Linked DNA regions of Tamandua tetradactyla. The protein of the gene in region 2 interacts with the protein of the main gene of each other region in a biochemical or structural test. Links are inferred from orthologs where the notes say so. Each region holds a gene or a part of one and is shown on either strand. Other genes may lie near its edges.

What was found.
Region 1: the proteins of ERBIN (region 2) and PKP4 form a complex in vitro, tested with the Homo sapiens proteins (4 studies listed by BioGRID and IntAct, with this or other methods). The link is inferred for Tamandua tetradactyla from reciprocal best matches to the Homo sapiens genes ERBIN and PKP4.

The regions. Positions count from the first base shown.
Region 1 is NC_135329.1:128,877,420-128,884,810, forward strand, and holds the start of PKP4 (plakophilin-4), read left to right. Parts: upstream 1-4,371; 5' UTR 4,372-4,400; coding exon 4,401-4,491; intron 4,492-7,391. UniProt on the Homo sapiens protein: Plays a role as a regulator of Rho activity during cytokinesis. May play a role in junctional plaques.
Region 2 is NC_135335.1:113,753,742-113,761,220, reverse strand, and holds the start of ERBIN (erbin), read right to left. Parts: upstream 3,018-7,479; 5' UTR 2,301-3,017; intron 1-2,300. UniProt on the Homo sapiens protein: Acts as an adapter for the receptor ERBB2, in epithelia. By binding the unphosphorylated 'Tyr-1248' of receptor ERBB2, it may contribute to stabilize this unphosphorylated state.

The sequences.
Region 1 (7,391 bases), on a different chromosome or scaffold from region 2:
TCAGTTACATTTCTGCTATTTACTTTTGTTCTTGAGGACAGAGTATACACCAAACCTCTTCAGTCTTTATAATGTTGCTAGAGCCCCACCCCACAGTCAGCCTGATCTTAGAGGATTCTCTATACACTCCTAATTCCCAGCCACCAGGCCTACCAAGGTGTTGTGGCTATTAGGACAAATGCCTCCTCTTTTTAAGAAGGTCATTTGCATTTTTATAGATATTCAAGATGGGAGACAAGGGTTTCCCACTCTTCACTGGAAGACTGAAATTTGGGCATTGTAACTTGCAAGTAAAAGGCATTTTCGTAGAAGAAAACTTGATTGACAAAATGAGCTAGGATTTCGAGGAGAAAGAGCACACTGTTCAGAATAATTTCAGCTGTATTCAAGTGTGAAAATTACATGGGATGTGGAACAGTAGAAGCCTCATGAAATCCCCTTGTATCCTTCAAGGCAGTCAGAGGTGACAACGTGAAAATTAAGACTGAGGTTTAGGAAAGTTGAAGTTGAGGAACTTCAGGGTGGATGCCTGGAATAATCTCAGTCAAGTATGAGAAGGATCACTGGAAGAAGGCTGAGTGCAGAAGGGACTTGAGAAGAGCAGAAACAGGACAGGTTTGGTAAAAGTATTCCAGATCATGTGCTAGCAAATCACCCTACTTGATTATGGAAGGGATTTGGGGAGTCAGTGAGGACCCAGCCAAGACTAGACAGTCTGAACCTTTAGAAGAACTAAATGATTTTGTAACTTTTTCCAGCAATGCTTGGTAGTACAGGAGCAAGTTGAAAAGAAACCATTCAATGGAATGTAACAATTACAAAAAAAATGTTGAGTGACAACTTAATTTCAGGCAACATTATTCATGGTGGATTTTATTAACATTTTAATCATTTAAAATATGAAGTACACAGTATCAAAATACTCAACAAACCTGTGATCTTAGATAAAGACAAACAGAAAAGATGATGTAAGTAAAAAAATTAATCAACTATTTTCTGCTTGTTAGCCTAAGGGAAGAGAAAAATAAATACCCATTTTCTCTTTGTATTAGACACATTTTCCATTTACTTAGTGTTATTAAAACCCAAATCATTGCTATTCTGTCAGTACATTAAAATGTATCTTATTTATAAAAAACTGCATTTTATTTTTTCTATTCTCTAAACACAGAGAGAGAGAGAGAGAGAGAGAGAGAGAGAGAGAGAGAGAGAGAGAGAGAGAGAGAAAGACAGAAGAAACAAAAGCATGAGTTAATTTCCATGATGGCATGGCATGAGACAATACTTCCTGGCCCCTGCTGATCCCTTCCCAATTCTTGAAAAGGGCGGGAGAACATTCACATGTTCAACTGATTTATTCCTTGGTTCAACCTTGTACAGAATTGCTAAATTCAGATTCAACTACAAATTGTGGAGAGTTGTTTTCCTCAGACAAGGTACTGTATTAACACACTTTATCTTGGATTATATTTTTGTAGTCTTAAATTACAGTAAGATAGAAACAGTAGCAAATAATATCCCCTGGTTCAAAATTCAGGACAGTAGTTAAAATATGTAACTGATGTCTAACTTACACATACATTAATCTTTTTCTCTCAATAAAATGTTTCTTATTTACAAAAGCCTGTCAGTTTTTTACAGAGTGTGGTCCTTCCAACAGGACAGAAACTAACATAAGCATAGTCTTGTTACTAAAGAGATTAATATAAAAATGGCAAAATCACCAAAAGAAGGAACCTAAGAATATCTGTAGCTATATGCTGGAGCAATATATTGCTTAAAAAAGCCTAATAAAGTCATGAAGTCCCATTTTAATAGGTGGTATCTAATTATGAACATTATTTTTAAAAATGATATTGAAAAATTAGCACAGTAACTTTAAATGAAGGAAGTAAAGGACTTGGTATGAAGTCTCAAAATTTCTGATTCAATGCCTCGGGTCATTTAAGAAAAATCAAATTTAGAGATAAACTGAAAAAATCCACAAAACAAAATCCATATAACCATAATCTATTTTTTTTTCTTTTTGTAAAATAGTCAGAAGGCAGGAAGAATTGACTGTGTCATCTGTCTTTTCCCAACCTGTAACCTCTTAGGGGAAAAAACATGCACCTGCCAAGCTCATGATGCAGAATGCACACACAGCTGGGTGTTTAACAATCTTTCAGTGAGAAAATTAAAGGTTTGTGTTTGGGGAAACCAGAAAAGGTGTGCTCACCCTTTGGCACCAACACACAATTTCAGGAGCCACCCTGTTTCCTTATCAAAATGGTGTCCAAAGTAAATCCTCTTTTGAGTGTCCTTTAGATATTCTATAAGTTTGAAGACCCAAAATTTGGAAGCAAGATTCTCCCCCAGGGAAGGGGGCGTGGTCGGGAATAAGTGGAATTCAGGTAGATCACTGATATCAGAAGGAAGCATCAATTTAAGGGATGAGGTGCAAACTCACCTGGAGAAGCAGAAGCTGCACAAGAGTCAAAGGTCAAAGAGTATAACCTCAGGGTCTACCAAGGCCCAAGAGAAGTGAAATGCCCGCTTCTGGGCTCTCAGCCTCAAGGATACGTATAGCGGTTCCCAGTGCCTGCCTTTGACGTCCGGGACAAACCCTACCATGCACGGTAGAGGGTGACAGGGAGGCAAAGCATTACCTAGCCAGATTTCTGAGCCTTTGCCCGGAATTCCCCTCCACTACTTTACCTCACCCCTTCCCTTGCCTGAGACACCTTCACCTCACTCCACCTTCTCCAGGCCCTCTTGCTCTTAACAGCATCGGTCTCTATGGCAACCTGAAACCGCAGCTCCCATTGGCCTGTTCAATATGAGGGCCGGGCCAATGGGAGGGCCAGTCTTCTTCTCCCGACCAATAGGGCTGGCGGGGAGCCTGTCCGGAGACGGCAGCGTGCTGACGTTCCCGGGAGCCCGGGGCCGGCTGGGCAGGCGGGCTGGTGGCTGGGCGGGCGACGGCGGCGGCGGCCTCTGGGCAGTAGAGGGGGCTCCGGGGCTGAGTCCGTGTCGACGCCGGCCGCGGAGACGGCACCATGGGCACTGGGTAGAGGGGCAAGTTGGCCACCGCCGCCGCCGGGGGTGGTGGGAGAGCCTCTCCGGGGCAGGGGGCGGGTGGGGGAGGGAGGGGCGGGCACCCGCGCGGCCACTGCACTTTTGTAATTTTTTCGGGTGCCGCAGCGGCGACCACTCCGCGCTTATGTCTCTGACCCCCGGAGCGACGACGGCCGCTGCTTAACCTGGAAAGTAAGTGTGCGGGCTCGCGGGCGGGCGCGGAGACTCCTGCCCTCGAGAGTCCGGGTCCTCGCCCCCTCAAGCCGGAGCCGGGACCTGCCTCCCAGGGCGCGGAGGGGGACGGCGCTTCCCTCCCGTTACTCCATCCCCACCGCCTCCCGGCCGCCTCGGCTTTCCTGCCCCGCCTCGTGTTCCTGCCCGCACTCGCCTGCCTACTCCCCTCCCCCCGGCGAGCGCACAAGTTTCACCCTCCATTTGCTTTTCTCCGCGATTACTCTCCCCGGCTCTCCCTGCATACCGCGCACGACCCTTCCCCACGTTGGCCTTTTAGGTTCCAGAGTCCCTACCTCCGAACTTGGTCGCGGTGCCGGCTCTCTCCCGGACCTGTAATTCGGCAGCTTCCCCGCTCCCGCCCTCCTGGCTCGCCACCCCGCGCCCCCGGCACCCCGGGGCGCCTTCCTTCCTCAGCTCAGGGGCCGTCTCTTGATCCCTCTTATCCTGTATACCGCAACCTGGCCCCCTCCACATCCTCCCACGCCCCTGCTGCCTGCACGGCCTCGGGTTTGCCCCTTGTCCGGCACTCCTATCCACCACCCCACCACCCCCTCTGTCCACTAAGCCCCACTCTCCTGCCGCGCGTCCTCACGCTCCACCCCTCCTGGTTCCTCAGCCCTGAGTCTCCCCGGCTGCTCTTCTGCGCCGCCGCTTCCCCCTCTCCTTGCCAAGAGTTAGAGCAGAGCTGCGGCACCCCTCTGGTGGATCGGGTGTCCCTACCCACCGCTCTGGCGGCCCGCCCTCTGCCTTTCCCCCCTACTCGGGGAGCCAGGGGGCGGGCAGCGGGGCCGGGATTTGGCTGCGTGTTGGCGGAGTGCGACAAACAGCGAGCGCGGGCGCTGGAGGCGCCGCGGCAGCCGCGGGGCGCAGCAGTAGGCAGGTGTGTGTGTCCGGGGGGGGTGGGGTAGGGGAATGAGGCCGCGGACTCCTCGGCTGGCGACACATTGTGCAGGAATGCAAGGAATGCACCAGGGGCAGAGTCCTCTCGGCCTGCCGCGGCTTCTCTAGTGCCTTCCCGGCCCAGCTCTAGTCACGCTGCCAGAGGTCACCGGAGCATCTTCGGAGCTGGTGAGGCTCGCTCAGTTCCTCTCCTCCTTTTGCCTCGTTCCATGCGGCAGAGAGGGCGGCGCGGGGGAAGCGCGGCAGATCTGCTGGGCACCACTGGCCTTTCGACTGGGTCTTTGCTGCATTGGTCTCCAGGTCCGTGGATTTGCGTCTGATGGTGATGTAGCCAAGGTTATTGATCATTGCACAAGGCTTTTTTCTAAGTTTGGTTTACAAGGTTTCGATAGTGCCTCGTTTTTAGGAGGTTTTTCTGAAAACCTGCAGGAACGAGGGGCCGAAGGTTCCTGGAGTGATGAGGTTGCATGTAGCCAACATGTTTCAGCTCTATCAAAGAATATCAGTTAGTGCTCGTGAACGGGGGTGTACTGCAACAGAGATCTTGTATGCATCACTTTGCTGTCATAGGAATTGTAATTTTCTTTTTTACTTGTCATACTGGACTGTGGTTAGACCTCATATAATACATAATGAATAGAAACAGAGAAGCAGTGTTTGGTCAGCGATGGGACAGATAGAACTGTCTGGTACAGTTAAATTCAGGGCGTGTCAATTACCATTAGAAGTAACTCAGGGACACCACAACCACGTCCATTTCAAGATGTAATTTATTAGTGGGGTTGCAGCTCTTTCTCTTTTTGATACTGAGTTTGGCTGCAAAAATAAATGCAGCCCTACAACTTTAAAGGAATGGTAATTCACTTATGTGTAAAATCGATTATGATTAATATCTATTTTTGGTCAAATTTTATTTTCCTTAATAAAGAAAAGCAGAGTTTTGGCAGATGATGTTTCTTAAGAATTGGACTTATATTCTTGCATTTTAAAAAGAAAAGTAGAAGTGTTTCTCTTTTTTAGTGTAGTTATGTTGTTAAAGAAATATCTTCATTTTTGGTGCCTGACAAATAGTTGTGGATAATGACAACAGGACAATGAGAACATATGGCCACAATAAATATTATAAGATGTTGGAGAAGCATACTTTGTGTGCTTTTATCTGACACAGTTTGCTTTGAAAATTAAGTATACTCTAAGACCTTCTGCACATGGTTATTTTGTATCAGATTCAGGAAAATAAGTCGGTTGTCCATCAAGTCAGCTGTTTTCCGACATCTACTTTGTGTGAATCACAGGCATTGAAGAGATGAGAGTCTTTTAGTAAAAGATCCAAGAGAAAGAAAAATAGAGGAAAAAATTTTTCTGCTAGAGGAAAAATTGTGTATTTTGATTGCTGCATTGTTGTCTAGGTATATCCTTCATCAGTGGACTTTTCTAATTTAGAAGCTTAATTTGTGTCCAATAACACTGTGGAGATATTGGGAGATTTTGTAAATGCCAATAGGAAACTTTTATTATGCAACAGTATCATATTACAGTAGAGTCTAACACATGCTTATTTAACTGGATGTGAAGATTAGAAAGTAAAAGCAAATTTAGTTTCTCTGCTGCATTAAAAATTGAAATAACCATTTATTTATATGGATATTGTATATACATGATTGGTTGCACACATAGTTTTACCTGCTTCAGAAACCTTTTGGTTAGAAATATAGCACACAAAAGTTGCAGGCCTATTTTTATAGGTTAGGGTCATTTTATTTTGTTTGTTACAGATATTTGAAGAGAGGAAGTTTTTAATCTGATTATCCTTCACAATTGAAAATAGTATAAACTATATTTTGACCAAAGTACATTCCATCCCCACTCTGCCCCGACTTTATAAAAGGAGAGTGTGCTGCATTTGGTGTCATAAATGTTATACTAATGATTATAAAGTGGGGAAACCTATATCCAGTTATCTTAATTTTTACCTATACTGTTTTTAGATTGAAATAAGGAAGAAGAGGTTGTGATGGAAAGCATAAGAGAGGGGAAGAAGAAACTAACAGCAGCTTATATACCATCAGTAAAGCAAATCATGTACATTATTGCTGCATTTATATGCTGAATAAACAAAACTAAATTCTGTGAATGGCTCTAGCATAATTTAAATTTAAAGAAACTACTAAACTTAGTTTACTAAAACTTTAGCAATTGTATGGCCTTAAGTATTTGGATTAAGTCTTATATTAAATCAGAATTGTAATTTTCTTTTCTGAGCTATATAAATTGAAAAAGTAGTTTAATTTAAAATTTTGAAAACTCACTTAAATTGATTTTTAAAATCAAATTATTGCTAATTTTTAAACTGAGTAATTTCCATATTGTTGACCAGAGATCGACTTAAATAGGGAGTGTTCCTACCCTGGATGATGCCAACCATCAGGTAAGTCCAGTCCCTTACCTGAATGTTAGAAATATTAAGAAACTCTATAATATAATGGTTTTTTTTTTTTCCTATTTTGGTCAAGCTGTAAGACCCTACCTTGTTTAATTCTGAAATGAATACTTTATTTTCAGTCTTAATTGGAAGAGAAAGTGAGATTATTGTGGGGTTATTTCAGAGCACAAATATCCATGGAATTTTTTGCCACTTTAGGAAGTTGCCTTCACGCCTTCAGGTACATTGGGAGATAATTATACCTTCACTGTGTTAAACAGTTTTGTAGTACCCTTCCTGCAAGGACGTAAAACGTAACACCAGTGGACTAGAAATATTTGGAGTATTAAATAATGGTCTCGAGGCCAAACTGTGGCTACACATAGCTGCAAATAGAGAAAAGGAAGTAAAACTTTAAGGATACTTGCATCTAGGGCTTGGAATGCTGTCAGTAAGTGATGATAGCAGTTGGCAGATCTTTTAGATGCCAGTGGTTAGAAATGACAGTGTTCTTTCAGGGTGAGAATATCAGGCCCCAAGTCACAGAGAGAACAGCTATCCAGGTGCTTGCTGGTCTCAGGTAAAAGGTTACACAACTTTCAGATTTTTCTCAATTCGTTAATTTAATAGTTGAGCGAAAGTATCGAAATCTTTTGGGGCTATGTTAGCATTATTAATTTGGGGATGTTACATATTATTTAGGAGATGCTTTTCAATTGAGTTATCTGTAGACATTCAGTTTGTCATTGGCCTAAATTGTTTTTCTATTTATAATTTA
Region 2 (7,479 bases):
TTACAAAGTCCTTTAATCAATCCAGTCTCATATGGTCTTTTATTATAATCATGTGAGGTATGAAAGATAAATATTATTATAGCCCTTTCAAAGATGAGGAAATGATGGCTTTTAAGAATTTGTCCAAGGTGGAATAGCTGCTGGATGGCAAGTCTTGGATATGCTTTTCACAATAAAATGTTTAATATTTAATTAACCATAACACTACCACACTGACTCAAAATAGGTTTTAGATAGCAAAAAAACTGATCTTCTAATCAGAAGATTTTTTTCATACATGAACATGGTAAATACTGCTAGTTACTGATTTTGGAAATACTATTATTCCTTGAAAACATCTACAAGTTTCTTCTGATAGCAGCAGCAGGAACTATTTCTAAATGCTTCCTATGTGCCAAACATAGTGTTAAATACTTTATAAATATCATGCCTTTTGATCCTCACAATAACCTTCTGTGATAGGTATTATATTCTTTTTACAGATAGTAGTAATAGCTAATATTTATGACCACTTAGTCTGTGCCAGACATTGTGCCAAGTATTTTACATGCATTATGTCATTTTCATCAGTCCAACAATCTTCTGAGATAAAGTAGCCAGTTTGCTAATTGAGGTAATATATAGGCAAATTTGATGTTAGACTTATAGAGCAGGAAGCTTTTTATTATATATTATCCTGTGTAATTATATAATTTAAAGGACCTTCTGGGATTACCATTCCAGGGCCAGTTCCATTAAAAATAGTCATTGAAGTTCAGATTGGAGAGAAAGTAGGTATTGAGACAAAGTTATACTCAAGGTCTGTTTATATAGTATAACATTGTGAATGTAATTAGCTGCATTGAAATATATATTTAAATGTGGTTAAAGGGGGGACATTTTAGGCAGTATATATGTTACTAGAATAAAAATTTTAAAAAAGCTATAGTACTATACAACATAAACAATGGACACTAATGTAAACCATGAGCCATAGTGAATTAATACAGTGACAATTATATTAATATTCTTTTGCCGACTGTAACAAATGTATCACATTGTGAACCCTAATGTAAACTATGGACTTTGCTTAATAATATAAATGTAAAATATTGGTTCATCAATTATACCAAATGTATCCCACGAATGCAAAATATTAATAATAGGGAAAACTGTGGGGGTGGGGCTGTGGTATATGGCAACTCTGTATTTTCTGCATGATTTTTCTGTAAACCTACAATTTCTGTAATTAAAAAAAAAAAGTGTTTGTGCATTCCTTTGATACTTTTTCCAGATACCCTACCCGTAATTTTCAAATAAGATATGCTGTGAAAACTTTAAACTTGTGGGAGCACTGGACTCGCCAGGGCCCGAGTAAAAAGAAATTCAGTTTCTCCACTGCCCATTTGAAGAATAAACTATTCTTCATACCCAGTAACACATCATAACTTTTCCAAAGATAAAAATGGTGATAGGGTCAAAGAAGTCTGTTGTTTCAGGGCGTTTGTTGCTATTAATAAAACAGTCCCTCTGCAGGAAGCATACACAGACAACTCACAAAAACAGGAAATCCACTCAGGAACCTGCCTTACAACTCCCAGTCTGAACTCCTGAAATTGCCCTACAGCCACAAGGAATGGACATCACAAATTAGAAGTCAAGGAGAAGGCGGCAGATTCTCTAGACTTTAACTCAGATAATAATGCATTTATTTACAATCCTGTGAAGCCTAATCTAGACAGTTTAGAATAGAACTTTTTAGACCAACCTCCTCGTTTTACAGCTAAAGTAACTTGCCTGCTCAGAAGTCATTTCCCTGTTTGGAACAGCCCATCTCATGGAATTTTCTTTAGGGAATTCTCCCTGACTCCTGGTCTATGGGGTAAGTAAGGAGAGGGCTGAGCTCACCTTCAGCTCCAGGGGTGGCCATGTGGCCAGGTGTGGCCAGAATCACATTAAAACTGTCACTGAATTGAGTTAGTGCAGAGGTTAGAAAAGTAAATCCAGAGTGGGCCACCGTGGCTCACTGGCAGAGTTCTCATCTGCCATGCTGGAGACCCGGGTTCGATTCCCGGTGCCTGCACGCGCAAAAAAAAAAAAAAGTAAATGCAAAATCACAGTTATTGCCAAAGCTAGGACTAAATCCCAAGTTCCCTGCTTCTCAACGCAACGCTCTTTCATACCACCATGCCACATAAACTATATAAATTAAAGAAAAAAATTCCTTGCTAACTCAAAAAGTATTTGTAGGTCCCATTTCGGTGTTAATAAGCCAGACTGTCTCAGGATCTATGCTGCTCCTTGCTTTGTACATTAAGTACCTGGAATATATCCCCGTATTTCCTTCTATTTCCTCAGTATTCTCTGAGGCCATTTAGAAAAACTGTCATGGAGAACCGTTTGTCGCGGCCTGTGGTGCCGAGAACCGTTTGTGTCGAGATGAATCCCAGTGCTTCCAACTACCCCATGGCTTCGCCGTATGTGGGGGAGCTGCACCCCGACGTTACTGAGGCGACGCTGTACGAGAAGCTCAGTACGGTAGGGCCCATGCTGTCCATTCGGGTCTGCGGGGACGTGGTCACCCGCCGTTCCTCGGGCCACGCGTGTGAACTTCCAGCCGTCGGGGGATGCGGCGCGTGCGCTGGAGACCAGGAATTCCGATGTTATAAAGGGGAAGCCGGTTCGCCTCCTGTGGGCTCAGCGTGACCCATCTCTTCGTAAAAGTGGGGTGGGTAACACATTCATTAAACACTTGGACAGATGTATTGATAACAAAGCGCTGTACGATATGTTTTCTGCTTTTGGCAACATCCTTTCGTGTAAGGTGGTTTGTGATGGAAATGGCTCCAAGGGCTATGGCTTTGTGCGTTTTGAGACACAGGAAGCCGCAGAGAAAGCTTTTGGGAAAATGAATGGGATGCTTCTGAATGATCGCGAAGTGTCTGTTGGGCGATTTAAGTCTGTTAAAGAGCGCGAAGCCGAAGTTGGAACTAGGGCGAAAGAGTTCACCAACGTTTACACCAAGAATTTTGGTGAAGAAGTGAATAGTGAGCACCTTAGGCTTCTCTTTGCCAAGTTTGGGCGTGTCGTAAGTGTGAAGGTAATGACTGATGAAAGTGGAAAATCCGAACGTTTTGGGTTTGTGAGCTTTGAGAGGCATGAAGATGCACAGAGAGCTGTGGATGAGATGAATGGAAAGGAGGTCAGTGGAAGACACATTCATGTTGGGCGCCCTCAGAAAGAAGTAGAATGGCAGACAGAACTTAAGTGTAGATTTGAGCAGATGAAGCAGGACAGGATCACCAGATACCAGGTTGTTAACCTTTATGTGAAAAGTCTTGATGACCGTATTGATGATGAGCGTCTCGGGAAAGAGTTTTCTCCGTTTGGTGCGATCACTAGTGCACAGGCCATGATGGACTGTGGTCGCAGCAAAGGGTTTGGTTTGTGTGTTTCTCCACCCCAGAAGAGGCCACTAAAGCGGTTTCCGAAATGAATGGTGGACTTGTGGCCACCAAGCCGTTGTATGTAGCTTTAGCTCTGTGCGAAGAAGAGTGCCAGGCCCTCCTCACGGACCAGCACACGCAGAGAATGGCAGCCGTGAGAGGCGCGCCCACCCGATGCTCCATCCCCGCCAGCCAGCACCACCCTCACGTTTCTTCATGGAGCCCTCGCGTTTCTTCATGGCGCCCACCCCGCGCCCCGTCCCTGCCGGCACTGCCCTCGCGTTTTTTCATGGCGCCCTCGCGTTTCTTCATGGCGCCCACCCCGCTCCCCGTCCCCGCCAGCACCGCCCTCGCGTTTCTTCATGGCGCTCACCCCGCGCCCCGTCCCAGCCAGCACCGCCCTCGCGTTTCTTCATGGCGCTCACCCCGCGCCCCGTCCCAGCCAGCACCGCCCTCGAGTTTCTTCATGGCGCCCACCCCGCTCCCCGTCCCCGCCAGCACCGCCCTCGCGTTTCTTCATGGCGCTCACCCCGCGCCCCGTCCCAGCCAGCACCGCCCTCGCGTTTCTTCATGGCGCCCACCCCGCGCCCCGTCCCCGCCAGCACCGCCCTCGCGTTTCTTCATGGCGCCCACCCCGTGCCCCATCCCTGCCAGCCAGCACCACCTTCACGTTTCTTCATGGCGCCCACCCCGCGCCCCGTCCCCGCCAGCACCGCCCTGGCGTTTCTTCATGGCGCCCACCCCGCGCTCGGTCCCCGCCAGCACCGCCCTCGCGTTTCTTCATGGCGCCCACCCCGCGCCCCGTCCCCGCCAGCACCGCCCTCGCGTTTCTTCATGGCGCCCACCCCGTGCCCCATCCCTGCCAGCCAGCACCACCTTCACGTTTCTTCATGGCGCCCACCCCGCGCCCCGTCCCCGCCAGCACCGCCCTCGCGTTTCTTCATGGCGCCCTCGCGTTTCTTCATGGCGCCCACCCCGCGCCCCGTCCCTGCCGGCACTGCCCTCGCGTTTTTTCATGGCGCCCTCGCGTTTCTTCATGGCGCCCACCCCGCTCCCCGTCCCCGCCAGCACCGCCCTCGCGTTTCTTCATGGCGCCCTGGCGTTTCTTCATGGCGCCCTTGCGTTTCTTCATGGCGCCCACCCCGCTCCCCGTCCCCGCCAGCACCGCCCTCGCGTTTCTTCATGGCGCTCACCCCGCGCCCCGTCCCAGCCAGCACCGCCCTCGCGTTTCTTCATGGCGCCCACCCCGCGCCCCGTCCCCGCCAGCACCACCTTCGCGTTTCTTCATGGTGCCCACCCCGCGCCCCGTCCCCGCCAGCACCGCCCTCGCGTTTCTTCATGGCGCCCACCCCGTGCCCCATCCCTGCCAGCCAGCACCACCTTCACGTTTCTTCATGGCGCCCACCCCGCGCCCCGTCCCCGCCAGCACCGCCCTGGCGTTTCTTCATGGCGCCCACCCCGTGCCCCATCCCTGCCAGCCAGCACCACCTTCACGTTTCTTCATGGCGCCCACCCCGCGCCCCGTCCCCGCCAGCACCGCCCTCGCGTTTCTTCATGGCGCCCTCGCGTTTCTTCATGGCGCCCTCGCGTTTCTTCATGGCGCCCACCCCGCAGCCCGTCCCCGCCAGCACCGCCCTCGCGTTTCTTCATGGCGCCCACCCCGCGGCCCGTCCCCGCCAGCACCGCCCTCGCGTTTCTTCATGGCGCCCTTGCGTTTCTTTATGGCGCCCACCCCGCGGCCCGTCCCTGCCAGCACCGCCCTCGCGTTTCTTCATGGTGCCCTTGCGTTTCTTCATGGCGCCCACCCCGCGGCCCGTCCCTGCCAGCACCGCCCTCGCGTTTCTTCATGGCGCCCACCCCACAGCCTCAGAACCGCGCCGCATACTACCCGCCTAATGCAGTTGCCCAGATAAGACCAAATCCTTGCTGGGCTGCTGGGGTGCCGGGCCTCATCTATTCCCAAGTACTTCTGGCGCTGTGTGCCCAGCCATTCCTCCACCACCATTTAGCGCCACGCGACCAGTTCCTCCACAGATCCCAGGAGTCCTCGCAACCCTACGTGCCGCCACTGCGGCAGTGCCTCCGATGTACCCGTACCCTGTGGCGGGGCTGCTGCTGCTGCACCTCCTCCGGCCATTCGCACGGTTCCACGTTACCGATATGAGGCGGGAGTTCGCAACCCGGAACATCTTCAAGCAACGCCACGAGTTACTGTGCAGCAACCTGCTATTCATGCTCAAGGTCAGGAACCTCTGACTGCTTCCAGGTTGGCATCTGCTCCTCCTCAACAGCAAAAGCAGATGTTGGGTGAAAGGCTCTTTATCCTTAGGGAAGCCATGCGTCCTGCCCTTGCTGGTGAGATTACTGGCATGTTGTTGGAGATTGATAATTCAGAGCTTCTTCACATGCTTGAGTCTCCAGAGACTGTGCTCAGGTTGATGAGGCTATAGCTATACTACAAGCCTACCAAGCTAAAGAGTCCCCAGAAAGGAGGTGACAGTACCACTGGTGTTCCCACCGATTAAAATTGGTCAGGGACCACGAAAAGTAACTTGTGCTTTCTTGAAAAGTACTTAAATGTTGTTGAAAAGTTTTAAGTTAAATATTGTTGAAAAAAACCTTTGCAAAATATAAAATAGATTTTAAAAGGACAGGAAACTTTGAACCTTCTGTAGTGAGTAAATGCCAGGTCTAGCAAACATAGTGCTGATCCTATATTACTTACTGATTTATTTAAAAAAGCACACACAAAAAAGAAAATATAAAAACAGATTCATGTTTTATAGACCATAGAAAAAAATAAGTTTTAGAATAGTACAAAAATTTAAAGCATTTCTTTCTTTAGCTTGGTGTAGTTCTTTACTGTGGAATAGCTTGGAATCTGTTTTAGATAATAGAATTGATAGATAACTGAGCAAGGAAATGTAATTTAGTTTGGTTTATAAAATTCTTGCTTTAAAAAAATTCCTTAAAGAGGGAAAAAGTCATTAAGTGAACATATTTGCTGTAACTTTGTAAGAGCACTGTATAGTTAATTGATTGTTCTACCTTTTAATATATTTAAAACAAACCCATGTACTACCCCAGAAAAACCAACAACTTCTGTAAGCCTGCTTCTAAAGAATTTTGTGTTAAAGCTGCATTTATATTATCTAAAATGTTTAATTATTTTAAAAAGTTGTGTGTTCATAAAATAGATTGCAATTATAATAGGGTAAATTCTGGTTAAAAAAGATTTTAAGTATCATATAGAAGTTAAGAGAATAAGATAATAAATTAACTAGTAAAATGAGTTCTCTGTTTAGAAAGAAACCACCTCCAGGTTGAAGCCATGCTTTACACATGTGAAATAAAAAAGAAAAATAGTAAAGGTCTTTTGTAGCCCTGACTTTAATAAGTATTAATTAAGCAGTTGGAGGTTTTAATTAAAAGGCTATAATCTTACCTGCAACTACTTGAAGGGTCAAAATATACTGTTTTTTAGGAGAGGAGGTTGCTAGATAATTAGTAGATAAATTAAGTGGAAGGGTTCCTGGTAAAGGTTGTTGACAGGTCTCAGGTATACCAGGCAATGGGAGGAGTTTGTATTACAATATTAACATCTAAGTTGCTGTTAACTTGGTGGGAGTTCATCTATGGCCTTAAGACCCAAAGACTTTCAATATAGATAAAGTTTTTCTTAGAGCTTAAAGGAAATAGAATTTTTGGTAGTGATTGATAAGCCTTGAGTTTGTTGAAGTAAGAACTTTTAAAATTGCACTTTGGTTTTCTTGAACTCTTGTTATGTAGTGTATTTTGATTTATCTTTAATAAATTTTGTTATTGAAGCCTAAAAAAAATTTATCATATGTCACTAAGATACCTCTATATATTCAGTCAATAAATAATTGTACTATAATTTATAGCCATCAGAAAAAGCAGGCCAGGAAAGAAATGGGAAGGAGTAAGTACCCCATCAGGCTTATACAAAATAAATGCATTTATACTTTTCTAAAACTCCAATTATTTTTGGACCAATTATCTATGTTTCAAATCATTCAGTCCCTTTGCTACT